Linked DNA regions of Struthio camelus. The protein of the gene in region 1 interacts with the protein of each later gene in a biochemical or structural test. Links are inferred from orthologs where the notes say so. Each region holds a gene or a part of one and is shown in the gene's direction. Other genes may lie near its edges.

Region 1 (8,003 bases):
CTCCAGTTTTTTTGAAACTCAGGGCAATCTCATATAGGACCTACCTACTTTTCTAACATGAAGTTTATTGTAAAGATATCTTGCCTTTTTAAATACTGGAACAACTGTTGCATTGATGAGTACCTCATATCACATGTTGCTTTTGGACTGTGTCCCTTGAAGTGTTTCTGAAGAAAGCCCTTTAAATTAGACTTTCTGTGAGTGAGCTCTGTCAAAACTGTTGCTACCTTGGGGAAAACCCCACACTTTTAAAACCAGTCTTAATCTGACTAAACCAGACTCTCCTTGCAGGTATTCTGTGTCCGAAAAATCTACGATAAGGTTAACATGCTTTGTCATTTATTTGGCTTCACTTCACTGCTATGGGCAAGGCCTGTGGTATTAAACAATCCTGTTTGTATGTAAATAAATGCCCTTTTAATTTGCCATAATTTCAAGTTTTTTGTTTTGTAGTTGAGAATAATTAACATACCTTTTATGATTTTTTTTACTCTGTTCTACCTTCCGGGGCATACTTTCTCTTCCAGACACATGTGTAACCTCCAATAGCAATAATAACAGTTATGAAGTATGTCTGCAGGGGAGACAATTTCCCTAAAAACCTTTAAAATGTAAATCTATGCAACATTCCTGCCAAAATGTATGCTCCAGTAAGTGAAACTAATATTCTGTACTTGCCAGGACAATAATCCAAAAATGGAATAAATTCCAAACACCATACTTAAGAGAAAGTTCGTAATTTCAACTTTGCATAATAACATGCATGGTGTTCCCTCCAACTGCATAGTTACTTCTTGCCATCTGACTTTCGAAGTGTAACTTTTATGTTGAGGTGAGGGAGGAGAAGAGTGTTATATTTAACTTGATTGTATGCTTCTATTAGTAAAACTTCTGGAAAACGTAGTACACACGTATTGTATTCTAACCAGTTCCATGAAAAAGAAGAAAAATACTGATGCAGCCTTATTTGGACAGATAAGGATAGAATGCATAACCACATGCTTAATATATTTGGATTAGCAGCTATAACAATTACGATCACAGTTACCTTTGATGTCAGATTAGTTTTCTACAATTTAGTTCTAGTTAATGCAATAGATTACTCTTAACGCACACATCTGGGAATAACATTTGATTTATAATTATTAGTATTTTCTGACAAGGAAGGTTGTTAATAGTTGTGTTTAGTCTAAATTATGAACAAATGCTCTATTCGAAAGTATAATAATGTGTCTATGTATTCATACATTCACATGCATATACAGTGGCCAAAATTATGCTCTAAGTATTGAAGGGTAAGGTATAAAAACTGAAATTTATTTTTAATTAAGGTAGTGCTTATGAAAAAGGTTTATTGGAATCTTTCCTTGGGTTTTATTCATAATTCAGAAATGGAATTTGCCAAGCAGAGAAGTCAATACTTACATATCTATGACTATGTCTATATAAATATACAAATATGTAAATTATACATGTGTGTGTCTTTTATATATATAAAAAAAATATATAAAACATACACATCGATAACATCCAACAGCTAAGTCTACGCACAAATACAATACCCAGAGTGATTAGACTAAGCAACTCTTTCTGTCAATACATCTGTTTCTTAGGAGACAGACTGACTTGTGCCATAAATGCAGTCAAATGTCCTTCAGAGGCAACATCCTTTTTCCAGGGAAGTCAATGTTTGTGAGTCAAAAAGAGTGGAATCAGACGCACTCACATTTCATTTGCTGGATCCTGTTCCCATTACCATTTTAAAAGACTACATTCCCAACGGTGGTCTAATGGATGACTTAATGGATGCTTATGCTTCTATTTCTAAATACTTTTTTGTGCATTTACTTTTCCTTCATGTCTTCTAATAAATCTATGCAGTACACCATTAACACTAATCTGTGCTATTTTACTAGCAAGATGTGAATACCAGAAGTAAATCAGGAAGACAGACATGTCATCCAATATTGATGTTTCTTCCATGAGCATTTTTTAAATTGGCTTCAGAAATGAAATATTACTGGAGACTAATATTAGACAAAATCAAATGTTTTTTTTAGTTCCCTCTTCATCTCCTCCTTAAGAGTCCTTTCTGACAGACTATTACATTAGTAATTAGAAGTATTACTTTACTTACTTTTGTCATAATAGCAAGTCTCTGAGAAAAACTTGTTTTACAAAGCTATTTGTAGTTTTTATTTAAAATTACATGCTTTTCTATATGTAGACAAATTGATTAATCTTTAGTTTGTAAACACATTTATACTTGGCATGCAAAGTAGATTCTCTTCCCTCCCAGTTTAAGGATAACAGTATAGTTCAAAACTATACCGTACTGACCGGTACGCTACCCGCACTAACGAAGGCATGACACCACCCCAAGCCCTGCGTGACAGCGTACACCACCCAGCCCACCCCTTAACCTTCCTTCTCTGGGAAGCAGCCGCAGAGGTGACAGCTTTACTCAGTGTGGAGTCTGTAAAATGACTCTCTTTTTGTCCTACTTGGTAGCACCTTCTGTGGAAAGAAGAAACAAGTAAATATGAATTGTCTATTGGGTGTCTGTCTAGTCATCTCCCTAAACTGGTTATCAAGTAGACCTGCAGGACAGCTACTGTACTCCAACCCTCAATACTTTTCCTTGCGAAAACTGTGTCAGCATGAAGATAATCAGTTATTTTAAATGAGTTCATTACGTTACAGTGATGCAAATTCCTGGTACAGATGTGCTGCCGCCTGTTTACCAGGCGGCTAGGTTTGAGGGTGCTGCTAAGTTGGTATAATTATATCCACGCAAATACTTTTAATACAGGCAAGGCCTAAGGTAGCATGATTCTTTGAACTTCAGTGAGTATAATCTACTTAATATATACTGCGACAGCCATGGTAAAATCTGAATATTATTGTAGACGAAATTCTACTTGAGAATAGCAGATTGTGTATTAAAAGAATTATCTGGAAGATATATCCCACACAAATACAAGTTGCAATGGGAAGAACTACTGCACAGCTGATATTGCTATACATTGGAAAGAATAAACTGCCATTTGGTTTTGGCCCATTTTTAGCTGCAAATATGCTTACTAGTGTCACTGTATTATATTTCAGAGGGATGTCAAGGTCAAGGCCAGAGCAACAGAATTAATAACAATAGTTGTTACTAATTCTGTTATTAATTCTACATTGAATGTTCTACATTCATCTAACCCACTGTGGTTCTTTTATAGATTGAATAATGATGTACACAAACGAGCTGTACCTTCTTTTTAATATTTCATTCTGGAGTCATGCAACATGGAAAGCTGGTGGGACGCTTTATAGAGCAGTCACTTTTATAACTATAGCAAATCGACTCTCAACATTTAATTTAAAGGATCAGTATGTTAACAGGCAAATGTTAGATCAAAAAATGTGAACGTGTGATTTCCAGATCTTGAAAATGGTTACGTTTTTCTCAGGTAAGCTATGGAAGAATGACTGTCAAGCAGGTGTGATTACATGCACTTCCATGTACAACAGACAAAAAAGAAGCTAATCAACTGGAGTTCTTCAATCTGACAGCTGTAATAAACAAGAGAAATACAGTGTAGGGTAATTTTTTTTTCAAAAGATAATGTGCAAAATTAAAACAATCAAAATAATCCTGGAAGTGTACAAAGACCCATGTATCTTAAACTTTACACAAGAAATTTCCAACTCGTGAAAGTGCCTTCACCAAGGCTGCACTTAATGATCTTCTTTTAAATATTAGAATGGTATTCCACTGTATCTCGCAAATAATGACTTTTAAAAAATTGTTTATGGGAGAAAAAAACAACTATCACACGAATATGATAACACTTGCAATTCAAATATGTTTGGAGAGAAAAACAAATCAAACGAGAAGACAAGCAAAATTACAAAGTACCCAGCTTCTGCAGAGATGGCGTATTCAGTAGAACACTCCAGATTTCTTTTTAGCTTGAAGGGTGTTATCACAACAGAGCTGACTGAGTAAACATACTTGGCAGCAACAAGGGTAGACCATGATCCTAACCACATTAGCTAGAAGAAGCAAATTTAACAAACAAAAAGCAAAACACTTGGACTTTTTGGTGAACTAATTTCTGTTGTCATAGCAATCATTTTAGCTTTATGTTCTTTAGTCTTATGACATTTATACGTAGGTGTAAGGTATACAGCATCTTCACATTTTTACTTAAGACACTAATCTGCAATTGCTCAAAAAGAGGGATAATTACCTCCTATTTAGTCCTATGACATTATTCATCATTTTGTCTTATTCCATCATGTTTTATTTCCAAACACTCCCTTTTTTTTCCCCATTCAAACGTGGGCTCATTTTGTTCAGACTGTGTTAGGGCAAAAAAACGGTGGCTTGCTGGGAGAACAAGAAGGGGTGGCACGCTCTTGCACTGGTGGGTTGTGGCAGAATGAGTTAGCAGACCAGGCCCAAACTTTGCAGCGGGCATATCTACAAAACGTAGAAGAGTTTCTTAGAGGGACAGCGCATAGCATCTTTTTAAATATTCAGAGGGGAGCTCAATGGCACCTGGTTAATTTTACAAGCAGCCCTTCAAAGTGGGAAATCGGAGAAAATTAGTGCAGAGAAACAAAATTAGCACCAACCTACTTTTAGATCTGATCACGTAGGCTAACATCTCTGCGTGCTGAGCCCCTCTGCCCAGTGTGCCGCCTTGCCGGCAGCAAACGCAGGAAGTTTACTGAGGGGACGCTAATGCAAAAGAAAAACCAAACCGAACCAAACTAAAACCAACAGTGAGGGAGATGGATGGGAAGCCCTAAGACGATTTTTCTCCCCCCCCCCTTTTTTTTTCTGTCCTACCCACGCTGCAAACCGGGAGCGCCGCTGCGCGGGGCGCGCTGCCGGCCGGGGCCGGGGCCCCGGGGCGGTGAGCGAGCGCGGGGGGCCGCGCCGGAGCGGCGGGGGGGGCGGCGGGCAGGATTAGGTTTCAGGGCCGCCGGGGCGTGCCTGCGTGCGCTGCCCCCGCGGCGTGGCGCGGCGCGGCGCGGCGCGGCTGGGCTCGGCGCCGCTGCGCGGGGGCGGGCAGGGCGCAGGCGGCGAGCGGGGCCCGCGGAGCCGGCGCGGTAAGCGGGGCGCGGGGGGCGGCGGTGGCGCTTTGCCCCGGCGGGGGGGGGCGAGGGAGGGGGCCAGCGCCCATCGCCGGCCCCCACGGAGCGGGGTGCCGGCCGTAAGGGAGTTTTGAGTTTATTTCATGTGCATTTGATTTATTTCATTTATTTCGCAAAGTTGTTCTGTTTTTTTTTTTTTTTTAATTTTCCACTTATTTATTTTCCCGAGCGGCTGGGTTTTGCGGGGGAGGGGGTGGTGGCGGTGTGGAGGAGGAGAAGAGAGGCCTTGGAGGGAAGGGGGCCGGGGAGCTGCGGGCGCCGGCGGAGCCTGTTGCGTGTGCCCGGGGGCGGGGGGGGGGGGGCGGCGGGGAGCGGGCTGGGCTCCCCGGCCGCCCCGCGCCTCCTGCCCGATGCTCCCCGGGCTCGGCCCGCCTGCCCGGCACTCCTCCCGATGTAAACAAAAGCCGGGTCTCCTCCTGTTGCTGCAAGGCTGGCTTTCATTTTGCTTTCGCTCCCTACTACCCCTCCCTCCTTTTTTTTTTTTTTTTCCTCCTCCCAGTGGGGATTTTTTCATCTTTGCAGAAGGTCTCCTCCCTCACCCCCCGGCTTCTCACCTGCTGCGCTCTGCGCACCCGAGACCTATTTTGGAAGGTGTGTTTTGCGAGTGATGCCGTGGTGGTGTTTACCGCTCCCTCCTCGGGGAGGACTGAGCTCGGCTCTGAAATCCCCTGCCCTCCGAGTGTGTGGGGGGGTGAGGTGGGGGGGGTGCTGCGGCCGGAGGGGGAAGACGGGACATGCCGCAGACATGTTGCATGCGCAGTGGCCTGCGTCGAGCCCGAGTGGGATGTGACTGATGGGAACCAGCCTCCTCCTGGACCGCTTGTGCCAGAGGGTTTGCGCAGCGCTAGCAGCCGGCGGCGGCAGCAGTGCTGGGCGATGGCCCTGAGACGGACCCCCCGCAGCAGACGCCACCACTGCCCCTACTTTGCTTAGCAAGTCGGTGGTCCTGGAGGCGCTTAGGTTCTCAGCCAGGTCTTGTGGCGCCAAAACTCAGTTATAAGTGAAAACCAGCAAAACTCAAAAGGCCCAGCCAAAACCACTAGTTCTGTGCAGCAGATCTGTGTGAAAGACTCCATAAAAACTGGCTGGCTCTTTGATGTCATTGTAACTGCTGATAAGAGGTCACCAGTGTTTTTGGTCTTATCTTTCTTTATCAGTTATTTTATTGACGTTGGGGAGTTCTTGCAGTTATGGTCTCAATTACAGCTTTCTAAAGCCCAGTGGGTATTTATTTAAACGTTAATCCACGTTACACAGTGCCTTTAGAGGGGCCTAAATTTTGCCTTTTGATAGATTTGGCCAATGGATACTGCATAAGTTATATTAAGAGAAAGGTATAGTTTTCGGAGTAATTTCTTTTCCTGTGTGATTTTCCTTCTTCCTTCAAGAACATTCATAAACTATTGGAAAGAATAATAGTCTGTCACAAAGCTGGCAGCTTAACTCCCTGTACTGCATTTAACAGATTTGATTTATTATTTTGCTGAACAGTGTTTTATCCTTTTTCTCTCCTCGTCCTTTTTTTTTTTTTTCCTGCAGTGGTCAAAATAGCACCCCAGCCGTTTATATTTTTGCTCCTCAACGCTTGCAGGAAATTTTCCTAGTACAGCCTGTTGGATGGAAGATGTCATTAGTGGTTTTGATAACAGAAAGTGCAGCACGGGTTTTTTACTCAAGCAGAGCAGTGGCCTACTGTGTTAAAGGGTCTGAATTCTGCAGTTCTTGGAAGTTTATTTTGAAATGCCAGTTGGTATCAGTATCAGCAGTGCATTTCCCTAGATAACAACTGAATGGGAGGGAAGAATCTGAACTAGGAAGGAGGAAAGTAGTAAAATGTTAATGGGAAATGCTACTTGATGCTCACAGGCAAATGGAAAGGTGTGTAACATTAGAAGAAAAGAGCGTAGTACTAAAATATCTGAGGACATATTTACATAGATATTAACTAGCAACAAGTTTTATGATAGAGAGCATCATCTTAGCTTTTTTTTCCCCCAAAACTTTTGTCAGTTTTTAGAATATATTTTTTGTACTTCCATGTTATTAACAGGAACATGCATGTAACAGTTGCATGTAACAGTTTCTAATGGTTTCCTTTGTGTTCTCAAGAAATTTTTCTTCAGGAGCTGGATACATTCTTCCCTCTCTTAACGTGAAAGCGTACTAGGAAAGTTAGATCAATATCAACACTAGGGAAAGAAGAGCTGCACTGCTTACATACTAATTTTCTGTCTGACTCTGTGTCTGTGAGCCCCGGGGGGATTAATGCCATACAACTTTTTAGTCACTCAGAGCACTGTAGATGATCTGTGCTTCTTATTCTTTTTTCTTTTTTAATTGATCCCTCTTTAATCACTGTAGTGAAAACCGTTATAAAGACCCTTTAAATCATCTGATCCGTGTTTCATATAAGCAAATTTAAAATTCTGTAGATAAGATTTAGTACACTTTATATCTAAATGGCTTTGCATTAAAAGCACTCCATTAAAGCAGTTTAAAGCTAGTGGAGTACCATGCTGTTGGCATACAGTCTTACCATTGGTAGAGGTAGTTTTGTTTCGCCAATTGGAATTCCCAGCAAGACAACATCTAAATATGTCATTTTGTTTTCAGTGCCCTCTTTTTGCTTAAAATAATGCTTTGTGGTACTATTGGCTCGTGCTTCTGGAATAACTGCCGAGGCAGTATTGGGGTATTTCTCTCACAGGCTTTTCAGACCTGCTCCTTGCATCTGAGCAGCCTGCTTATTACGTGTTGTAACAATGATCAGCACTGCTCTTCTTGCATTTTCACAATGCACAATGTTTATTTTATAGTGTTTTCAGATAGTAAGGAAGAAGGTAACTGTT
Region 2 (7,738 bases), on another chromosome or scaffold:
TTTGTCTGGTGCTTTGCTTAAAAAAAACGCACCAACAAACTAAAATAAGAAAGACCCAGAAAAATCCCACTTGAAAAAAACCCTTTAGCGCTAAGTCACTGAATGGAGTTACAGAACTTTTACAAATTGAATCCTGCAGCTCCGGCCTTCAACAGTGGCCTCTGCAAGTAAAGTAGCAAGCGATAAAGGGCAGAACAGTACTTTGCACTTCACAAAGACAAATCTCTTTTCTTAGCAAGATTGTAGGGTATAAACTAACAAAAATGCTATCAGGAAGATTAGAGCCTTTATTTTCCACTTAAGCTTACACCGATAAGACAGTTTTTACAATAGTGTGCTATGCATGTGATAACACGAGATATCTTTAAAAATAGTGTAATATTTCAAGCTTCAATGGCAATTATATCTTGGCTCTTGACATTTGATGCTAGAAAACTCTTTAATTAACTAGGCTAGCAATAGTGATGTAAGATCACAGGCACAATGGGATTCAGTGAGTATTTTACAAAATTGGATTAGAAGGAAATAAGAGATACTTTCCACTTTAGTAAGACTGAATGGTCCATCTGAAAGTTCATATTCTAGAGGGGAACAACATAAAGGTGTCCACTTTATCTGCATTAATTTTAGAGTCATTCCTGTTAAAAGTAATGGAAAACTCTTCAGTTAAGCTGCATGGAAGACTTTAAAATCCTCCCATTTACAGATGAAACCTTAAGATACAAGTCTATCAAATACCCTCAATTGTCTCCACCCAATCCCCCTTCTACTCTAGCAGGAGGATGCAGGAGACTGCAAAGTTAATAAAAATAAAGGCAAAGGGATGTCCTGAAACCTAAAGCCTTGCAGGAAACAGTCCCAGATGGTTCCAGTTGGTACACCTTGGCATACCAAGTCTAGACCAGCAGATTTCCCTTTTTTTGTGTTAGTAAACAAGAGGCTTAGAAAACTCATAGTCACGGTTTTGTCGATTAAAATTAAGATACAGCACAGTGATGAGTATGTGTTCTTGCATGGTAGTCATATGACATTCCTGATGGCTGCGCTTCAGAACTGCTGTTTTCGATGAATGCATCAAGCAGAAATTTAACTACTTTTCACTTTTACAAACTGTAACAAACTTTTATGGCAATGATGAGATAGCAACTACAACACTTGTAAATCAATATATGTTTCAAAGACTCATAGTTTCTCAAAGCCTTCAAGTATTAGAGGTGAGTTAATTCCAGAGTCATCCGGATTGCAGGGGCTTCCCTTTTCTATGGAATAGGAATGTCCTAGAGTAATATCTCTTAGTCTACAATTTAGAAAAAGAGAGTGCAGTCTTATAGAAGAATTCATCGTCACACAGTTTATCAGGAGGAATTCTAGCAGGCATTGACTGGCTGTATCAGAAGAGTATTTTCCTCTCTTCTCATTAGATATACCTTGCCAGAGATAAAATAGATTCCACAGATTATTTATACTGAAAAGATTTAGTATAGAAAGGTGTTCACAGACCTAACGAATACAGCGTTTGATGCTCTCAAACTAGCTGAGATAATTTCCAGACGCATTTGCATTCAGATACAGAAATTATGCAAGTCCTTCATTAGTTCAGCAGTTGTTCAATGACATGAGCATAATCTTACCAATATTATCGATTTATACAATGTTTACTCCAGTAGGCAGTTCCATGGATGTGGACAAGACCGCTGATGACAGTAAATATAGTCTTTTGAATTGGCTGTTTAAAGGCGCCAGTCCATATTTATGGTTAAATCACCTGAAGGATTTCAAACTGAAGTGAGTTTTCCAAATAGAAGGTTTCATATATTTCTCCAAGCTTATCATTTTTATCTTCAAAACCATTGTTTCTGGAGTCTGCGGAGCTTCACCCCCCCCCCCCCCCAGATGTCAAACTGCTGCAAGTTGGTACAAGCAGACAATCAGAAGAAATGGCATTATCTATCCTAACATATTGCCATGGTACCACAGTAACTGAACACAGGAACATGTGAGGGGCTACCTTGTCTGGCTGCAAATGCAAAATAGACCTGTTTTGGCTTAAGGTCATATGGTCATATCTTCTGGAAGAGAGTAAAAAGACCCAAGGGAGTCCTCTTCACTGATTAAGGGGAAACGCTTGTTTCCCTTTATACTGCAAACAGAATATGGACGAGACAACTCTGCCTTACATGCAGTTTTCAATGCAAGATGTTGGACAAAGCAGAACTACATTTGTCATTATGATTATTAAAAATAAATGAAGTGGCAAGGCTACACCTAATTCACCTGTGCCTCCCACTTACTGCAGCTATTTATAGCCATGCAAAGTGCATGTTGCCAAAGCACATTGTTGCCATTCTGATTTTGAGATGTTTAACATTCAGCTAAGGTTGGGCAAAAAAAGGCGCAAGATGCAGGGCAATGCAGTTGGGCTGCATGTGATCAGGGATGTGCAGAGCATAAAGCCAGGCCACTAACTGAAATAACACTAATCAAAAAGAACAGGGAGAAACCTGTCATAACAGCAACATCACATGTTCCTTGATAATGTTGCAGTGGAAACCTCCTGCAGCATATTGTGCACTCCTTTGCATCTTTAAGAACGCAAACTGTAAATGCTCTAAGCCCTTGTAAAAAAATTGCCAAGCCCCTTTTTTTCTCCTGAAAAAAAGAAGCACAGAGACACCTGGAAAATCTAGGTGGCACTAAAATTTTAAGTATTTTAGCTGGTTTTTTTTCTCTACCCAGAATTAATTTGGTGAGGCTCACACCTAGTGAGAAATATGATTTGAAAATGATGTTTGATTTTGAAATTGTCAGTGTGCTAACAAAAATGCATTCTGCTTTGCAGGCAAAGGAAGGATTCACCCATCAAAAGAGACTAGCTGTGGGAGATGAAAGAGAGTAAAGAAATGGAGAGCCATTTTAAACATATAAGACAAGACTTTCATCTAACACTGGACCATATGGGACAGTGCTATTAACCTCGGAAAAAAACTGACAGTACTGAAAAAGCAAAGAAAGAAGATGAAGAAAAAAAATGAATAATTTGCCTTCAATAACTTTTCTGATCTGTACTGATGTGCTTCAAAAAGTCTACATTTATTCTGGTTGCTTTTCCACTGGTAAGAGTTTGGCCATGAGTCCTCTACATCCTTATGAACATTGAAAAAGCGTTGTTTGGGGTTTTCTGACAGTTTATGCGTCCTTTCCCCATCTGCCTGTTAAAAGACTGTGTTGTCCTTGGCTCTCTGGTCAGAGCACAGCAGGGGAATGCATGTACGACTGCTCTGCCTCCAACATCCAGTATCACATGTTACATCCAACTTTCTTTCCCTTCAGCTGTGTGTGACACAAAGGAGAGTTGAAGACAGACATTTCTGCACTCAGAATTATTTCTGCAGTTTGTATTATTTCTGCCCGACGGGCAGCTTCCCTCTCGCTCTGCCGATACAGAAGCCAGTGCTCCCAGATCCTCCTGCTGAACCGTTTGCCTCATCGGGGCTTACAAATCTCCCCATACGGGATACCACAACCTGCCCTCCACGATGCATTTGCAGAATAAATTCTCCTTGCTCTTTGCAAGTGCTTTCCTAACATTTAAGTTTTTTTTTTCCTGAGAACTAAATGGATTACTTTTTATCTTGCCCTTGGGGGACATGAAAAACAATTGCTCGCAACCCTCTTTGTGGGAACCTTTTCCATGTTTTAAGATCCCTGTCAGCCTTCTCTTTTCCGTACCAAACTAGCCCGTTCTTTCACTCTTTCCTTGTGTGTCACAGGGCATACTCGAGCCCTTCCCTTGCTGCTAAAGCGCGACTGCCCAAAGCGGCCGCGGTGGGAAAGCTGGGCTGCGCGGGCCGCAGCGCTACCTCCGCGGCTCGCCGAGGCTGCTGCGACACCTCCCGCAGCCAGAAACGAGCCCGCGGCTTGGGCTGTACCTGTCCTTGCGGGGCTGTTGCCTCCGCGCCGAGCCCCGCCGGCCCTGCCAACCCCGGCGTTGGCCCCAGCTGCGCTCCCCGCGCAGCGCCCACCCCGGGCACCGCCGCGGCCCGCAGGCGATTTCTAGCGGCGGCACTGAGCGCGTATTTGCTCACTGGGTTTTTTTCCAGTTTTCCCTTGTTTGGGGGGGGAGGGGGCGGGGGGGGAGGGAAGGAAGGAGAGGTGCGTGGGATGGTTTGTTTTTTCAGACCGAGGCGAAGGCACCCCCCCCCCCCACCTCCCGCGGAAGGAGGCGGGAGAGTTTCTCACCTGCGCCAGCCCCGGCGGGGCGGGGCGGGGCGCGGGGGGCCGCGCAGCGCGGCGCGGCGCGGCGCGGCGCGGCGGGGCGCGGGGCGGGCGGCGGAGGCGGGGCCGGCTGTACTCGGCAGCCCTGCCGCGGGGGCTCGGGCATCTCTGCGCGCCGGGCGGTGCGAGCGGGAGCGGGAGCGGGAGCGGGAGCAGGCGCCGGGCCGGGCTCGGGGCGGGGGGGGGGCCGGCATGGAGAGCGCGTACCTCGCCTGGGAGCTGGCGCACGCCGTGCTGCTGCTGAGCCTCTTGCCCGCAGGTGGGAGCCGCGGGCGGGCGCGGAGCGCCGCGGGGCGGCGGGGCCGGGACACGCGTGGCGGTGGCGCGGAGAAACTTTGGCGGCCAGCGCGGGCGTCCCGGCCGGGCGGAGCGGCGCGGAGCCGTGCGGTGCGGTGCCCTCCGCGCGGGGCCAGCCTCGCCGCCGGCGCGGGGGCTGCGCGGAGCGGCCGCGGGCGGCCCCTGCCAAGCGCGGCAGCGAGCGCACCCCGGGGCCGGGCACCCGGCGCGGCCCCGCTCCGCCTGCGCGGGACGCTCCGCCGGGAAAAAAAAAAACTCCTTTGTTTGCAAGCGGCGGTTATCTGGGGCAGGGAGAGGGGCCGGGAGGGCGCCCCCGCCCCGCCGCTGCCCGGGCTGGGCTGTTTTGCCAACAAACTCTCGGAATCGGTACAAAACGTGCCCGCGGTGAGGTGCGCGCTAAACAATAGGCAGGGGAGGCGCCGGCAGCGGGGGCCCAGCGCCCCCGAGGGCAGCGGGGCGCCGCCGGCTCGGTGCCCTCGGCCGGACCCGAGCGGGGCCGTGGGGTGCGCGCTGGTCGGTGCGCGGCCGCCCGCCGCTTGCTTCGTGCCAGGGAGGTGCCAGTGGCCCCACCTGCGTGGGGCTGGTGCTCGCGCGCGGGGCTGGCGGTTTCCCACGCGGCATCCGGCTGCGGTGTTGGATAACTTCGAGCAAGGCTTTTGGAGCCGCCGTGTCTCGAGTTGCGCTGTTTGGTGGGTTAAGAAACGGGGTAGTTTTTTTTTTTTGGGGGGGGGGGGTGTCTGCGGGTGCCACAGGGAGATGGCTGTTAGTGTTTGTGGAATTGCACACAGTTTGGACCAGTGCACCAAAATTTGAAAGTGGACAACTTGAAAGGTTATCTTCCTACTCTTCTGCAGGAGAAAGCTAAGCATTAAGGGAAGCAGTGCACTTGCTAGGTGTTGTGAGTGCTGCCACCAACAGAGAGGAGACTTGGAGAGTGCTCTGTGTGTGAGGAGACAGGGGAGGGCTGTGGAAGTCTTCTGGGCCATAGTTTTCCCGTGCTGGAAGCAAATAAAACTTTAAAAAAAACCGAACAGTAGTGACAATTTATGATTCTTTATTGTAAGCACTTTATTTTGGCATGTGAGAAAGGGCAGTATTTGATTTATTAACACTTTTAAATTTTTTTTTTTGGTAACATTTGTGTTTTGTTCCCTTTTGTTTATTGATTAGTTCCAGTAGAGCGCCGTACCCGACAATTTGGACTTTGCTGTTCAGAATATCCACATGTAGGGATATATCCGCACATAACCAGAATATCCACAGACTATCCAAATGCTAGTGCAGTAGTCACAGAGATACAGAACTCTCCTAACAATGTGTTATTCCCTGGAATTTCTTAAAAAGTATATAGAAGTGATTAATATCCCAACAAACGTCTCCACTTCATACTTGTTTTGCCCTGCGCTTGAAGCTTATCCTTCATCTGCCAATTGGACTGTCCTTAAGAAAAGCTTGGGAAACACGTCAGACTGTCCGCATCTCGTGGAGGCCACCAGGTGCATGCTCTAGACTACTGTGGGGCGAGGAGGTAAGGGGAGGTGGGAACCCTTCGATCCTTCATCTGATTCTAGGTTCAGACACTTGTGGGAGGTATTTCCCTTCAGTGGCACATTAGGCAAACTTGTGTTGACAGAAATTCATAGTGTAGTCATAGGCACCCATGACTTGCCGTTGCAAAAGGCAAGGGTCTGTAGGTCCCTCCGTATGTCGTCTGTGTATCACATAGGTGTAGGGCAATTCAGGGCTAGCTTTGTGCTGGAAGGGGTGTCAGAAGGTGGCTCATGTCCTGGCAGGGGCGCTGGGCACACTGAAAGCGACAGGCCTGACAGAGCCTGCTTTGCTGTGCTGGGTTTTTCTGGAGCTGGCTTGACCCCATGTTGCTTTTGGGATTGCCGCAGTGCAGACCCGTGGACTGGATGATCTCCTGCAGGCCCCGTTCAGACCTGCCGTGTTTGTTGTTTATTCATATACAAGCTTATATTAAGTATCTTTTTTTGGCCTTTAAGTCAAGAGCTTTTTCCTTTGGTTGCAACCAAGGAAGGAGGGAGAATGTAGAAAGCAGAGCTGAATGTAACTTGTTGGAGAGGAACCCATTCTTCTTCTCTGTCCCCACCCCCTTCCCCCTTCCCCTTGTCTCTGAACACATGCTTGCACTTTTCCATCCATTTGAGGGTTGCCTAGTCCTCCTTTGATGGAATATTCTGGAATAAGCTTTTTCTCTGTGCTTTTTCCCTATCCTCCCGCGAGGCTCACCCCCCCCCCCCGCCCCTAGTACTCTTTCAGGGTTTTCGCCCTGCAGCCGAGGAAGGCTGGACCTGGTGGCTCCTTTCACTGCCCCTCCTGACCGTTTCCCAGCGAGCTGCAGGGTAATGGGAGGCTCTCCCTCTTCCCCGGGGGGAAGCATGTCTGTGTTCATTTTGCTTCCCGGTACCTGCCAGCCTGGAGGGAGGAAGACTGAAGGCGGAAGATAGAACTGGATAACGATTCTGACTGCTGTCACTGAGTCGCTGTCTTGGCCCCTCAGATATCCCGCCCTCCCTCCTCCCCCGTTTGTTGTGTTGGGCCTCCTTGTTCTGCCTGTCCCTGTTGTCTCCTGCGTCTTTTCCTCCCTCCCCTGCAGCCCTGCGGATTGTCCTGTGCATAAATGTGGCCCAAGGCCACTGCCAGGAGCAGAATGGAAATGTGAAGGATTGTTCAATAGTTGACTCTTTTCCTTCCGTTACAACTGGGAAGCTTTTCGGAGCGAGTGTGTAAGTGATTTTTCTTCAAGCTTTATAATGATGTGATAAATTTGGCAAAGAGTGAGATGCACATTTGCATCCAGCTTAAGTACTGTTCATAGAGACTGGAAGCATTTCCATGTGCTCTTTTTCCAGCAGAGTGCCTCTCACTGACAGATTAGCCCAGCTGCATTACTCTTTGGTTACGCTGGCTCACCATGGGCTTTTCATTTCACTTCAGCATTCTCAGAAAGCTGTTGTTGGTTGTTGAAACAATAACGCTTCTTTGCAGGTGCACAGATTGAGTAGAGGATCTTGACTCACCTCGCAAAGGGCCGTACGCCAGTACGCAGGTGGAATCAACACGGATATGTCTTATCCACATGTCAATACCGGCCAGTAGCAAAGGCTAGGGCAGATCGTAGGAGTCACATCCGAGTCGATGT
Region 3 (7,229 bases), on another chromosome or scaffold:
TCCGCAGCTGAGCCCGGCCTGCGCCGCGAGCCCCGTGCTGGCAGGCGGCCAGGCTCCAGCGGCTGCTGTTGCCACGTACCGGAGCCTGCCAGAGGCGCAGCAGGGGCCCGTCACACATGTCCCCCCCACCCTGGGTGCTCTCCAGAGGGTGCTGTGCCACCTCAGGGGGTGCAAAGGGAAAACACCACCTTGCTCCCCTGGCTCAGAGCTCGAATGCAGCAGCGATACCAGCAGCTGCCATGCAAACCCCCTGCGGCGGGCACAGGTCCCAAGCAGAGCTGGGCTGCGTAGGCTGCAGACCCTGCTCAGCTTCCTCTATGGCTTGGAGGGGAAAAAACACACAGCAAGGTGCTGGGGGGGGGGGGTGTCTGTCGGGAGCTCTCCTGAAGGAGCTCCTACTGAACAACCCCCACAGCACACCCCAAGCCCCGGCACGGGGAGCTTGCAGGGGTCCCATACCTGCTGCTGCAGCAGCGTGCGTGCTCACAGCCTGGCAGGGACCTCGGTGCCCCAGCAGCGCTGGCGCAGGATGACCAAGTGGCCACGGGCCCACGCTGGTCGCAGGGCTAGGTGAAACCCGCTCACCTGCTGAACGGGGCTGAGCCGGGATGTCCGCAGATCAGGGCAGCGGGAGCTGGCACCCAGCACTGCCCCTTCACCCCGCGGAGGGGAGGGCAGAGCTCCCAGGTCAGCGCGGGCGCAGGGTGACCCCGCAGAGATAAGACCAGCACGTCCCAGCATAGATGTCCCTCTCCCAGCCTCCTGCCCCCGCGCAGCCAGCCCTGGGCTCGCTGTCCCCTCTCTCCTGGGGCAGGGTGGGAGCAGCACAGCCGGCCCCTCTCCCCCCCAGCTGCATGCAGAGCAAGGCGGGGGGATAATTCAGCCCCTTTTGCCGCTCTCCTGCGGCGCTCTCAGCCCTTCCCATGGCAGTGCAGGGCAGCGTTCCCCAGGCCCGGGCTGCCACAGCAAGGGCGGCCAGCCAAACGGAGGAAATACCTGCTCGCTGCAGACGTCTGGGTCCCGCAGCTGGGACGCCGGCACGCCAGGTGAGCGCCGGGGCCGAGCTCTCAGCCGGGCGTCCTTGAGCGGCAGAGCCCCGCTCGGCTCCTCCGCCGCCTGCTCACACCCTGCTGGGTGTGTTTGTGGCCCGGCAGGGCTGCTGATGCCGCCTGCAGGTCTGCACAGGCCGGCAGAGGCGGGCTGCCCGCAGCGGGCAGGGCTGGGGGGTCAGGGTGCGCCCCGGGACGCCCGCCGCCCCGGGTCCACCCCGGCGCTCGGGGCGGGGGGGGGGGGGGGGACGGGCGGGTAGGCGGACGCAGCCTCCTCTTTGCAGCAGCTCCGAAAGCAGGGAAGGGGCCCAGGGGGGTCGTCACGAGCCAGGGCACAGAGGAGCCTGCAGGCAGCCCACGCTCCAAATTAAGGCTCCGGGAGCGGGAAAGGCGGATGGAGGCAGGATTCTCGCACCGCCAGGCCCTAAAGCAAGAGGCTGCGTGGAGCCCTTCTGCCAAAGAGCTTTTTCTTCCTCGCGGGCAGAGCCCAGGACACGTCCCAGGCCACCGCAGCCGCTCAGGCTGTCGCTCACCCACCAGGGCACGTTTGAAGGGAAAAGCAAAGAGGCACCGCGGTAAAAGCAAGACGTTGTCTGGGAGACTGCTTTAGACAAGGGAAACGCGTCGGAGCGTCCAAACTTTGCTGAGATGAAAGGAGGCTCCGAGCCAGTGGTCTGATGCCCTCCGCAGATGGCCAGGGCAACTCCCTCCTCCTCCCCAGCTCGCTGGCGGTGCGGCGCAGCCTGCGGCGAGCCAGGACGCAGGGGGCACTCGGACCTTTCCGTTCTCACCACCTGGGGCCGGAGCATCACCGCAAGGGAAAAACCACCGTGAGGACCGGTGTCAGGGGGCAGAGGCAGCCCCAAACGTAGTCAGCTCTGAGCAGCTAGCGGCAGGACGCGCCTCACGGTCCACGTATCCGGCTGGTTTTCGCGAGGGCTCCCAGCCCTGGCTGCCGCAGCGAGCCGGTGGGCAAACGTCGCCTGAAGCGGGCCACGCGGCCCGTTCGCCGGGCTGAACTCCTTCCCGGCCCGCGAGGGAGAGAGGAGCCCGTTTTACAGGCGGGAGACTGAAGATATTTAAATACCGGGGACGGGGCGGCAGTCTCTGAACAGATGAAGGAGGGAGGTGAGGGGGAAGGGGTGAAGGCTCATTTAAGCCAAAAAGCAAGCCTGGGCAGCTCGGGGGGAACATAAATAAATAAAACTGAGCATGAGCAAAACGACTTGAGGTTTTGGTTCGGAAGAGGGCTGGGATTTGAGGGCGGGGGGGGGGGGGGGAGGTTTAGGAAGGAGCCTAGGGGAAAGGTGCCCACTCGGCCACCGACGCAGCCGGCCTGCAGTACAACGCGGCTGCGGCGCCGGACCTTCCCCGGGCGAGGCGCCAGGGCCCCGCTGCGCCCCGGGGCTCCCCCCGCCGGGGCAATGGCCGCCTCTGCCCACGGGAGGGCCCCGGGCAGGTCCCGCCAGCGCCACGGCCCCGCCCTCCGCACAAAAGGCCGCTCTCGCCGGCGTCCAACTCTATGGTCGCTCAGCCCGTCACTCCCGGGCAGCGCTCCCGTTCTGAAGCGGCCGAGGGGCGGGATGGCTCGGTACGGCCTAGCCCAACCCGGCCCGGCCCAGCCGCGGTCCCACCCTGCGGGGCTCGGCGGGGAAAGGGCTGCGGGAGCGGACCTGCCGCCGCTCCCTTTCCCTACACTCGAGGCAGTTTCCTCATGGGCGCCGGGCGTCAGCCATCTTTGCTATGGGCGCGCGGCTTCAGCGCTGTGCGAAAACGGGGGAGGCGGCGGCCATTTTTTATTGGGGCAACCCTCCTCCTTCCCCCCTCACTTAAGTGGAGACGGCCGCCATCTTGAGTGAGGGAGTAGCCGCCTGTGAGGGGCGAGAGCCCATTTTGAGTCCTGGCGCGGGCCGCCGCCAGCAGCGGGCGCGCTCGGCCCGCGCTGCCGCCGGTTCCGGGGCCGGGGGGGGGGGGGGGGTGGTCCCGTGCGCAGCTCGCCCCGGGACGGCGGTCGCCGGGCCCCGACGCTCTGCCCGAGACCGCGGCCCTCGCCAGGCACTGCCTCACACTCTTCGGATGGTGTAAAAAGCCAACGGTTCGGTTGGCTTTGTCCCCATTTGGTTTATCCAACGTTTGGTTTTTATCCCTGTTTTAGGCCTTTGCGTAGCTGAGGGGCAAAGCGGCTCTGGGAGGGTAGGAGCTGCCTTGGGCAGTCCCGCCGCGACTGCCCACGGCGACCTCCGTGTCAGGCCGGGGCGGAGGGGGATGATGCAGGCCAGATTCTGGCCCTTGCTTCTGGGGGAAATCCCTGGCAGCTGCCCCTCAGTGATACTTCACCGTGGCTGAGCCTGTCGGGGTGTCGCAGCCCCTCCGCCAGCTGCGGGGCTCGTCCCATCTCCCCGAGCCCGTTCGGAGTCCAGCAGACCACACTAACAAGCAAAACGCACGGTTAAGCTAGCTTAGCTCTACGACCGGCTCGCCGCAAGATCCAGAGTGCCACAATTAGCTGGGAGGAAGGGGAAGGCAGAAAATTAGTAATGTCCCTGTTAGCGCTAGATGAGGCGGCTCATGCACAACGTGAGGTGCAGCGCTGCCACGAGCGGGGTTTGTGCCCTGCTTTTGCTTGTGAACAGAGTCACATCTATTTATACCCGAGTGTTCTTCTAATTCTAGTAATGTTTTAAACACATGCACAGGGGAATGGTGTAAGTGAGCAGGATCTTTTATGTTGGTGTGTTACAATTCAGCTGAAGTTTATACTTATCTTTCTAGGTTTGCTAACATGGAGACCAAAGCAGGTTTTTTGCATATTGAAGTGACTTTATGGATTTATGTTACGCACCGTTCTAACTTGTCAACTGGACCAGGTCATAAACCAATGTTCACAAAAACCGTAAGCCACTATTTCCATTATACACTTCCGTTTTTCACTATACTGCTTCTAATCTACAAGAAATACAGCTTTTAAGTTTGAACATTTTAGGCATTATCTCTTCGTTTAACCTCCCAAGGGACTGGAGAGCTGAGATGAAAAGGGAAAGGAACACAGGTGTCTAACCATTATCTCACACCCCCTCAACTTGAAGTGGACCACAAAAGTCCAATGCCTCACTCTTGTGCTGCTGACAGCACTTTAAACTGAGAGCCAGTGGCAAAGTGTGCTTCCACCCCATCCAGTAACAGACTTGCATAAGGTAATAGGCCAAGGGGAAGACATCTCCAACATGAATCTAAAAACCCCTGCCTGCTGATAATCTGTATAGGCATCAGTAATACAGAACTTGGCTACTTTTTGTGCATAGACACATTTAAAAAAAAATAAGTAAAATGCCTACTTAGGGGATATATGCATCATGGTGCTAGTCTCAGTGATAAGACTACTTTTCCTAAAGGCCACAAGCCTATTATGAACTAAAAAGTTTGTGGTGAACAAACTCAGACACCTGTGTTTTGTTGCAGAAGCTATGTAATAAATGGCTTCTGGAATGCAGATTGTGATGATGTTATGGTTAAGGATGAGAAAAACCTCTCTGGAGAACTGTATTTGTTCCAGCTCCTGGCACTGAGTTTGTGTGACATCAGGCAAGTCACTTAACCCAAACTTTTCACAGGTGGTCCCTATAGTTGCACTTTCAAAGCACTTGAGAGCAGTATGGGGCTGATTTTCAGAAGGGCTAATCATTCATTGTTGTAATTGAGATGAATGATATGAGCTTTGAGGATCAAATGCTAAATAGCGTTAGGAGCGCATGCTGTGTAGTAACAGGAAATCTCAGTTTGGGCACTATGTTAGTGCATTTATCCCCACTGTTTTTGTGGGAATCTTGCTTCAAGGGCTTATGGAGATATATTTATTAATGTCTGTAGAACAGACTGTTAAAAGAGTACAGTAGAAAAGCAGAAGGGAATCCATTCAGTAAGCATGCAGTATGCATGCATTGAACAAAGTGTCTTTTAGGGAACAGTATCATGATGTATCTAAAAGCTATACTAATTAAGACACATAAGACATCTCTGTGGCTGCCTGCAAAAAGGGATTCCAATGGGCAAGTCTTGCATAGTTTACAAAACAGTAGTTATAAGATTCTGATATTTCTGTTACGGACATCTATTCAATAAGATTTATTTGCTGTAGTTCACTAATGCATTACAGGGCTGAAATAATTGTTTTCCTTCAGATGAAGCTTTTTCGTTTTTTGAACTTAAACTAGTTCAGAATTTGAAGATGTTTATCATTTGCCATTTCTTAATTGCCTTATAGTTGCACACTTAACTGAAGCCAAAATACTAAGTATTATATTTAAAATATGATAGAAGGTATACTCTTTTGTAATTAGTGATCTAAAAATATATAGTTTAAGGTTATGTACAAAGGACTCCGATTGGTTTAATTATAGTGGAACTGTTGTTCTAGTCTCTTTCCTTCATATACATAATTAACCTTATTAGAGGTTTACACTGTAGGCATAACTTTCTGAATAAGGCAATACTGATACTCTACACAGCTTCAGTTGCTCTACTTTAAAGCATATATTCAGAGCAGTATGGTGGTCTGTGCTACCTCTTGGCTGGTGTTGGTGTCTTCCAAGGAGAATATAGTACTTTCCTTCTCCATAAGCATGGAGATCTATCTGCCACTTATCTTAGTTTTGCTACATTAACTTTTGTATTTAGCCTTTTTTAGTTGATTTCTAACTTTTAAAACTTATTATTTTGGCACAGGAGAAAATTCCTTGCAGTGAAGTGCTTATTCATGGCACATCTCTTATTTCTGCTCAGAGTTACAGTTACTGTAGAATCACACTTCTTCCTTTCTAGGGTATAAAACTGACTGTAAGGTCACTATTTTAAGACACACTATAGAACACAAAATCTATTTGTTGTTAAAGCTACCTTTCTTTTCTCATTACTGTTTCAGAAGCCTTACATGAATTAGTTACAGCTCACTGATTTTACTGTTAAACCACAAACTTCATTATAACATCACTGAGGAGCTAACAGCATTCTAGATAGAATAAAATTCAGGATCAGTGTTCATGTCAAAAGCCTGGCTTAAAAGGCACTTGACAAAATAAAACTTAAGTGTCAAGCTGTAGCAAGCGCTCTTTAGGATACATTCCCAGCATCTGAGCACCTAACTTACAGTGCTAAAAGTTCTGTATTTAGTAAATATCAGCACAGATAATGCTTCAAGTCAGTTCTTATTCTAGGAATACTACTTCTGGTCCCCTGCTATCACTGATGGGATACAATCCTCTCTACTTCATAATTCTAAGAAAAGACTACAAAGACTTATACTTCTAATTTGCTATCATTTCCTTATTCTCAGATAGGTTTCTTGAGGACGGGTGATACTTCTGAGAGCCATGATGTACTGTTGTCAGTAACACTCCCAGCAAACTTGTGGAGGTACTGCATTTTTTCTCCTAGCACTTTAAAAGTTTTCATTATTAGAAAGCTTTATGAAACTATTGAAGTACTTCTTTTCCTCTTCAGAGAGGCTATTCAATTGTATTAAACAATTCTATAAGAGCAACTTTCTTACCAATACAGCTTTTTTTACATCCTATGTTTAATAGCTAGCATAATCTGCTAGCTTAATTATTAGAAACCAAGACCACCCCCCCACCCCAAACTGTAACACACTTACCAGACAGAAGCAGCTTCTTGTTTCAAAATCCCTACTGTATATAAGCAGCAGCTGCTTGCCATTGCCAAATTTATACAACCAGCCTCCAGATTGCTCTGCTGAGGGTAGGTTTATATAAAAGGCCCTTGCTAGGGAGGGGTGACTAATGTGGTAGGGTAGGTGGTGTTTGTGTTTCCTTAGGTGGCTAGGGGTATAGCTGTCCTGTAGAGAGACTACTGGGCAGGTATGTCAGCAGTTAGAATTTAATAGTTTTTTTGAAGATTTTTTTTTTTTTGAAAGGTATGTGATAGTTTTGTTAGGTTTCCTTTCTTCCCTGTAAGAATTTTTTCCTGGCCCTGTTCCCTTATGGCTTACTCCATTTCTTATACTTATTTAAGGCTTTATCAATAGTAAATATCTTTAGTTCAATAAAAGTTCCACTTGATTCTTTAGTATGACTGAAAAAGATTTCAGTAGTAGTGAGATGCTTTAGTTCTGTCTGTGTTTCCCTGCTTAGCCATTACAGATACCTACTGTGAGTTCCTATAATG
Region 4 (7,280 bases), on another chromosome or scaffold:
GGGTTTCTCACCTTCCTTAAGTTGGCTTTTTTTAATTTGCAGACACTGTTTTGGGGCTCAGTGTCCTTGGCCCCCTAACAACATGTCACAGTACTGGTCCACCCACCCAAGCTGGATATGGGTTTAGACTTCATGAACTGGTAGGGAGTAGCTCACACATAGGTTGGCTTTCTATGCATAAACATGGTGAACACGTGGTGTCTGCCACTGCATCATCCAGAAGCTAGCGCCAATGTCTGACTTTTATCCAGAGCATTAAATTGAGATGTATGAACATGTGGCAAATCCCTGCTTACTCGGAACAACGTCCGTGTTTGATGCATGAGATGAGCATGAGCGTCTCTTCTTTGGCTTGCTCCTTGCTCTACCTGACATGCCAGAGGGAAACACCTTCCAACTGAGTGGGGAGTTTATCTCCTTGAAGCACTCAGCCAAGCCAGCTACTAAATGGGGGGGTTATCTCCCCCCTTTGCCACTTCATCCCCATGGAGCACATTGTAGAAACCAAGCAACAGTGGCAAGGCCAAGGATGAAGGCTTCCACCAGCAAGCATGTAAGAGTAGCCCTCCCAGGTCAGCTCACAGGTGAATCTAGTCCAGCACACTGTCATGGTCTGTAGTCAACCACAGGTGTCCAGGGAAATCAGGGAAATGCAAAGCAACAGGAATCCTTAGCAAGAGCTCCTTGGAGCGCACTTCCGACTTCCAAGGACTGTGGCAGAGGGACAGGCTGAGCCAGAGGCAGCATGATAAAACTTAACAGTTCTTGCATTATTCTACCACAAATCTGACCCTTTGTGCATTAGCACAAAATCCCTTGGAGTGAGGATAGGGAAGCACTGGGCTAGCTGGGCTCTCTAGCACTAAGTATCTCCAAGAATCAGTAGACAGGCATCCATTACGGCTAGTCAAGGCAGAATACTTCCTGCCTTGGAAAAGAGGACAGACTAGATAAATCCTCCAAGGCTCAGTATGAACACTGTTAGAGCTATCTGATCCACACCTACCTACCAATAGGGAAACTGAGGTATAGCCCCACAATGGTGATCTCAGCTGCGGTTTTCTGCAGCCAAGCACACCAAGAAGTTATACACTAGACTTCCACTAGCCTGGCCTGAATGTCCTGGACTCTGACAGTCCAAACAAGATTTTTCTTTATTTTTTTTTTGTAGACATCACACTGGTAAGTAAAGCCCTGTGGCTCACACCTAGCAGTGCTAGAGCATCAGCTCCACATGGGAATTTGGGACACGTGTGCTTAGCTCCTGCATGTGCAAGCAGCAGTCCTGGTTGCCTCCCCTTGGCCATGCCATGCAAGAGGGACAGGCACAGCAACATGCTCCGGTTTTCTCTAGCTGCACTCAGCACGGGGCGAAGGGCCGGCTGCAGGGTGGATGGGGACAACACCAGCAGCACTGTGGTTGTGTAAGTCACGCGTACAGCGCCAAAGTGCAGGTGTCCTGGAGCTGTTAGGAAACAGAAGTGTCAAACCATGTGCAGTTACATAAAGAAATAATAATGTACCAAAGGCAGATAAAGTCATGCTAAATCACTGCTCTCCCTCCTTCCTGGATATCCGATATTTCTCTTCATTTCCCCCATCCCTAATACCCTTCTCCCACATTCATCTCTCTGCTGCACGGAGGAATTTGAGATTAACCATGACGAATGGAGTGATTTCCTTGTCTAGGGGACTGTTTTATTTTTCCTCTGCCACATCTGACAAGTTGCATTTTCCTATAAATCCCCTCAATTAGGCCTTTAAAACAGCACTGCAGTCGTTTCCCTGATATATGGGGAAGGAATTATCTTAATGTCCCTGGCAACCACTTCCTTGACTAAAAATAGTTTGGGTGCACTTTCGCTTCCCTCCCATCACCCCATGGTTTTGGCATCTGATAAGAGCATGGTCACTGCATGCATCTTGCCCAGAGGATGAACTGCAAGGCCTGAGGAAGGGGAAAACTGATGCTTTTGCCTTTTTTCTCACCGTGACCAGCCTCGGTTCGCTCTTCCTGTGCTCAAGAGGGGCGTGGGAAAACAGGGTCAAAGCCTGCTTTGCCTGGAGGACTTGAACCCGACCTCTTCCCCACTGTCTTTTCCAGGCTCTTCTAGGGTGAGGGAACTTTCTCAAGGCCTCCTCTCAAAACTTTTGCATTTTAAATTGGGCTAATTGAAGCTCAAGGTAATACAAAGGTGGATCTGGAGTCTATCTGGTCCCGTCACTTGTCAAAGGGCTGGGATGTTAGGAGACCTAAGAAATAACAAGTTTCCTGAATTTACTAGAGCTTTACATATTCTCAAACTCCTTTCCCAAAGCAATGACACAGTTGATTAAATCCAGCTAATGCTGGAAGATTTATGTCTGCGTTGTTTATTGCTTTAGTTACTGGGCCAGGAGGATTTACCCTTTGAGGCCTGGGATGAACCATCCACACAGCTCCTGGGTGTAACCCTTGGCTGGCTGCTCACGTGCTACGGTCCAGCCAGCGGCCAGCAATCCTATGTACAACCACGTCAGCCAGGGGTGCCTGGAAGAGAGCAGGATATGACCCTGGCCCCTACATGGTTTGGAGAGAGACACTTGCCACTGACACGTTGGCACTTAGATATGGGAAGGGGGAAATGTCTCTGGTCCCTACAGGAGCATCGTGACTGGAGGAGGCTGCTGGGAAGAAGGTGTCAATGCTGATGTGACATCTCCCATCATCCCTTTATTTTCCCGGAGATGCAGCTTGACTCTAGTTGTTTCCACAAGGAAAGAAAAAGCCATAACTTGCTGACTGGCTCTTTCTCCTGCTGCTGAGTCACTGCAAGCAGGTAGACTCCCGGCACCTTTCCCTGGGGCCAGCACAGCGGCTGTGGTTTGCACCAGCCCCGCAAACCCCAGGCAGGATGTGGAAAGCGTGCCCCAAAACCCTACCCCAACTCAGGGAGCGGGCTTCACCTGGCGCAGGCCACGCCCAGAGATTCGACACCTGGGACATAGGGAAGTCTCTCCCACGCTCACAGCCGGGGCTGACGCATCCCCAAGCACCACTGGAGCTGGCAGGAGTGTCTCATGGTTAGGGTGGAAGGGAAAAAATTAGTCAAGACCCCAGAAGTCTTGTTCTGCATGACCTCTCACTGCCCTCCACCCTCCCCAGGACACTTGTCCCCAACGGACACATCTCCCCCAAACCAGTGCCCCTCTACCCCATTAGTTCAAGCCCTCCTGTTTCTGCTGCATTGCCTGTGCCGTGCCACTGCCAGTCCTGCTGGGGAAGCCGCTCTCCACCCAGCAGCCTCCCACCTCCCCTGTTACTCAGTTTCCCCTGTTATAGCCTGGTCTGCTTCCTCCAGTCCAAAGCCAAGCCTAGGCTCTCCTGGGGCTTGGGCGAGGCTTACTTGTGCTGCAGGCACAAGGATGGACATGGGGCCATAGGGGTAAGGAGCAGCTCATCTCTGCCAGGGAGTTACAAGGCACAGGGCTGCTGCAGCCCTAGAGGAAGCTGATCAGGGCCAGCAGAGCAAGGGAAGACAAGAAGGCACCAAGAGCCCCTGCTCCCTCTCCAGAGGGAGATGCTCAAAGGAAAGGACAGATCCTTGCTCTCCCTTCCCTCAAACCCTCTCCCAGAGCCTTGAGCAAATCCTCCTAAAAGTTGCAGTCAAAATCCCTTTGCATACACACACACACACAAACACAGGTGTCCACAGCCTCCATAAAAGCGCTTGCAGCAACAGCAAAACGCCTGCCTTTGCGGAGGAATAGTCTCCCACTAGAGAGCGGAGGGACAGAGCCGGGGGACGTGGTCCAGGCTGGGCAGGGGCTTGCCTGCCCCACGTAGGGACGCATCCCCAGCAGGGCAAGGCAGGGCAGGGGGACTGAAGGGCTTCCCTGGGCAATCGGAAAGTTTGGGTTGCAAAAGATGCTGAGGGAGGGGATGGCAAGAGAGGAAGAGTTGCAAGGCACCGGGGCTGTGGAGGAAGGAAAAGGGGAGGAGGAAGCAGCGGAGGAGGAGGGAAAGACAGGGGGAGTGGGAGGATGGCAGAAGAGATGTAACCCATCCCCAGCCGAGCAGGGGAGCTGGAAGGTGGGGAGCCCAGACGACCGGCTCGCAGCAAGATTATAAAAGGCAGGAGCAGGTTGCTGAGCAAAGGAGAGGGAAGGCGAAAGGCACCTGCTTCCCTCTGCACAGCCCAGCTGAGACTCAGGGTGGCGGGAGTTGCAGTGCCAAGAGCCTGGGTCCGTGTCGATGACAAGCTCGTTTACACAAAGCCCAGAGGATTTTACCCCAGACAGCATAAGGAGCCCAGCAGAAGTGGGGACTGCTGCCAAACATGCCTGGGAGAGCTGGGCATAGTGGGAGTTAAGGATGATGTCCGGCATACGTCCTACCCTCCTCCTCTTCCTCCTCCTGCAGGTAAGATGCTCGCAAGCCCTCTTCTCCCGGATGGGTTCTCCTTCCTTCCTCCCCACCACCCCTTTGCCTCCTGGACTGCCAGGTTTCTCTTGAGTGACTTTTCCATTGCTTTGAATGAAGGGAAAAGTGAAATGAGAAAAACCATTACCAAGAGCCCCCAGAAGGATTCCTCCAGTCAAGTCATGGGGTCTTGGCAAGTTCCTGGTGACCAAAAAAAGGCGGGGGGTGGGGGGGGAGGGAGCTGGCATCAGTGAAAGGATCAGTCCAAGGGGGGGACTCCCAGCCTGGAAGCAGGGGCTGAGGAACAGGGCATGTCCCCAGGCCCTGGCGGTGGCCAGGAGAGCCCAGCTCAGGGCTAGCAGCCGGGCATGCTGGAGGAGCCAGGGCAAGCTGCCTTGCAGACCAGCCTGGCTCTGCCTTGCACCTCCCAGTGTCACCAGCTGCCACCAGTTTCCCTTATTGTGCTGAGAGAGGGCGGGGGGGTGGCTGCTCTGGGGGTGTGATGGACAGGGATGGCACAAATGCGTAGCCTAATTCTATCCCCTCGGTTGTTTTCCTAAAGAAACTGCTCCTTTTTTCCCCATCAAGCACAAGACTTTCCTCTTTAAATTGTTCACGATGGAACTGTAGCCACTGCTAATTTTGCAGCTCTGCACAAAATGCAAATGCTTTGTCAGAAACAATATTCCTCCTCCCCGAGAGCTCATCGAAAAAGCAAATGTTCCCAACCCAAAGAATGTTTAAATCCCAAACCCTGGGGGGATGACAAGAAAAAAAGGTTTTCAGTGAAAACCTGAGCATTATATCAACAAAACTGGATATGCAGTTACACAAAACAATCAGCTTTTTGCTTAAACGTCTGTGTCAAGAGGGTGAAAAAGAATTTGCATGGCTCTCCACAAAATGCTGTCTCAATAGCACAGTTGCGATGCAGAGTTGAAACGACAGGAAAAAGCAGCGGGTCATCCCTCCCACCTTAGCACAGTTGCAGTTTGTATCCCATGGGCTGGTTTCAGAGCCATGCACCACCCAGCAGCAAGATCAGGGAGAAGAATTTAGCTTCACATTTGGAATAAGAAAGTTCTCACTTAAGTGATGCGAAGAGCTAATACGTGCCAGCCAAGCCTGCTGCCAAGTTGGTGTTGCTTTTTAGAAGCTCCTCTTCTGAACAACCTGCTTTCTTCTTTAACTGCATAGCCCTTATTCTGTTTTATGAGAGCTCTTCTGCGGTTATGTTACCCAGTGCAGGTTTTGTTTGGCTCTGATGTAAGAAAAGGTGAGGAAGAGCAGCCCTGCACCCATGCATGGGGACAACATTGGCAAAGCAACAACGCCTGCGCAAGAGAGGCAGGTTCTGCAGTGGGCAATCTTAGTCTGCCCGCCGAGAGTTCAGTCTTGTGAGAAGCCCCAGCTATTCCTGGCCATGGGCAAACAGGTCTCCCGATAGTGCTGATGGTCCTCAACAACCACTCCGGCAAACTGGAGACTACCCCGATAGTGCTGATGGTCCTCAACAACCACTCTGGCAAACCGGAGACTACCCAACCGCATTGGCCAGCCCTGAAAAGAAACGCTCAAGCAAAAAAGTACCCCTTCCCAATATAATTTTTTTCCTGAGAAACATATGCATTCAGAATTCAGCCCCACTTTCAGCACAGTCCAAGCCCCTGAAAGCCCCAGCACCGCAATTTTCCCATGTGGCCATTGCACGGGGCCTTGCATGGGGTCTAGGAGCGCGGCCCCAGCCATGTGTGAGGCCAAGCTTCTCGTCTCTAAGCACTCTTAGCCGCATGGGCTAAAAGTGACCACGAAACTGTAGCCCAAAGGGAGAGCGTCCCTGCAGCCAGGCAGACCCAAACCAGCATCCAGCCAGGAGCGCAGAGACCTGCAGCGGGTGCTAATCTCTCCTGCTTCGGCAGGTTTTGCAGGCTGCAGATCTCTGAGCTGGCACAACTAAGGTGTTTCCAACGCACCTGGCTGTCAGCTCCAGTTTAGCATAGGTTTGTCCCCGTTGCCTTCCCAGGTAGACATCCCTTGGAGAAAGGACAAACGGACAAAGAGATAGGCAGCCAAACTTGAAACAGGCTGCAAAATGCTCTTTTTGTGCCCTACAACTCATTTAAACAAACGAAACAGAAAGAAACAGTTCACCTGCAGTTTTGTCAGGGACTGATGACATTTCTGGGGCTGATAAAGTCCTATTATTTTATGAAAATGAGTTTGATGGGGTGGGGGGTGGGAGATTCCCCTCTCCCTTGCCCTCCTCCACATCCAGTAACAATAAACATGAAAAAGGGCCACCACCCCTTCGCTACTCCAATCTCTGCAGGAGACGTGACGCCTGCAGCAGCAGGACGTGCTGACCCTGGGGATCTTCCAGTCCTGGATTTCCTTAAAAGCCTGAGTTAATTCTGGGTGTGTGAAATCACCCCCGTGATTTCACATCTCCAGTGAAAAAGCGAATGGCAATGGCGCAGCCTGTTCCCAGAATAGCTGCTGTATTGCCATAGGATGAATGTATAGAAATACAATGAGTCTAGCCTGCGGACACCGTTCGACTCCATCCTGAAATACAGCCCTGCTCCCCAGAAATTCAGCGGAGAGCCTGCTGCAGGTCCAGCCCAGAAGTCTGTTGTGAGTGATGAGCTCAAGATGAGGTCTGAGTCCATCACCAACCCCCAGTGAGCAGGATTTAGAGGGGCTGGATCTCACTCCACCTTTGCCAGTTGGGGTAGAGAACAGTTTTCAGGCTCAAAAGAAGGGCCAAATCATTAGCAGAGGGTCCCTGAGCAAACTTAGCCCAGGAGCCATTCTCCAACACTAGAAAGCTGGCAGTTAGGAAAAGATGGCTCTTCCTGAAGACAGAATAACATGCCTA

Evidence for each region.
Region 2: the proteins of MPDZ (region 1) and KIT form a complex in vitro, tested with the Homo sapiens proteins (2 studies listed by BioGRID and IntAct, with this or other methods). The link is inferred for Struthio camelus from reciprocal best matches to the Homo sapiens genes MPDZ and KIT.
Region 3: the proteins of MPDZ (region 1) and HTR2C form a complex in vitro, tested with the Homo sapiens proteins (3 studies listed by BioGRID and IntAct, with this or other methods). The link is inferred for Struthio camelus from reciprocal best matches to the Homo sapiens genes MPDZ and HTR2C.
Region 4: the proteins of MPDZ (region 1) and CRHR1 form a complex in vitro, tested with the Homo sapiens proteins (2 studies listed by BioGRID and IntAct, with this or other methods). The link is inferred for Struthio camelus from reciprocal best matches to the Homo sapiens genes MPDZ and CRHR1.

Annotation. Positions count from the first base shown.
Region 1 is NC_090982.1:21,775,300-21,783,302, reverse strand, and holds the start of MPDZ (multiple PDZ domain protein), read left to right. Parts: upstream 1-4,895; 5' UTR 4,896-4,913; intron 4,914-5,034; exon of another isoform or gene 5,035-5,109; intron 5,110-5,653; exon of another isoform or gene 5,654-5,745; intron 5,746-8,003. UniProt on the Homo sapiens protein: Member of the NMDAR signaling complex that may play a role in control of AMPAR potentiation and synaptic plasticity in excitatory synapses. Promotes clustering of HT2RC at the cell surface.
Region 2 is NC_090945.1:56,830,659-56,838,396, reverse strand, and holds the start of KIT (mast/stem cell growth factor receptor Kit), read left to right. Parts: upstream 1-4,381; 5' UTR 4,382-4,467; coding exon 4,468-4,534; intron 4,535-7,183; exon of another isoform or gene 7,184-7,322; intron 7,323-7,738. UniProt on the Homo sapiens protein: Tyrosine-protein kinase that acts as a cell-surface receptor for the cytokine KITLG/SCF and plays an essential role in the regulation of cell survival and proliferation, hematopoiesis, stem cell maintenance, gametogenesis, mast cell development, migration and function, and in melanogenesis.
Region 3 is NC_090952.1:25,398,217-25,405,445, reverse strand, and holds the start of HTR2C (5-hydroxytryptamine receptor 2C), read left to right. Parts: upstream 1-3,869; 5' UTR 3,870-3,942; intron 3,943-6,699; exon of another isoform or gene 6,700-6,756; intron 6,757-7,229. UniProt on the Homo sapiens protein: G-protein coupled receptor for 5-hydroxytryptamine (serotonin).
Region 4 is NC_090966.1:3,503,070-3,510,349, forward strand, and holds the start of CRHR1 (corticotropin-releasing factor receptor 1), read left to right. Parts: upstream 1-4,033; 5' UTR 4,034-4,354; coding exon 4,355-4,402; intron 4,403-7,280.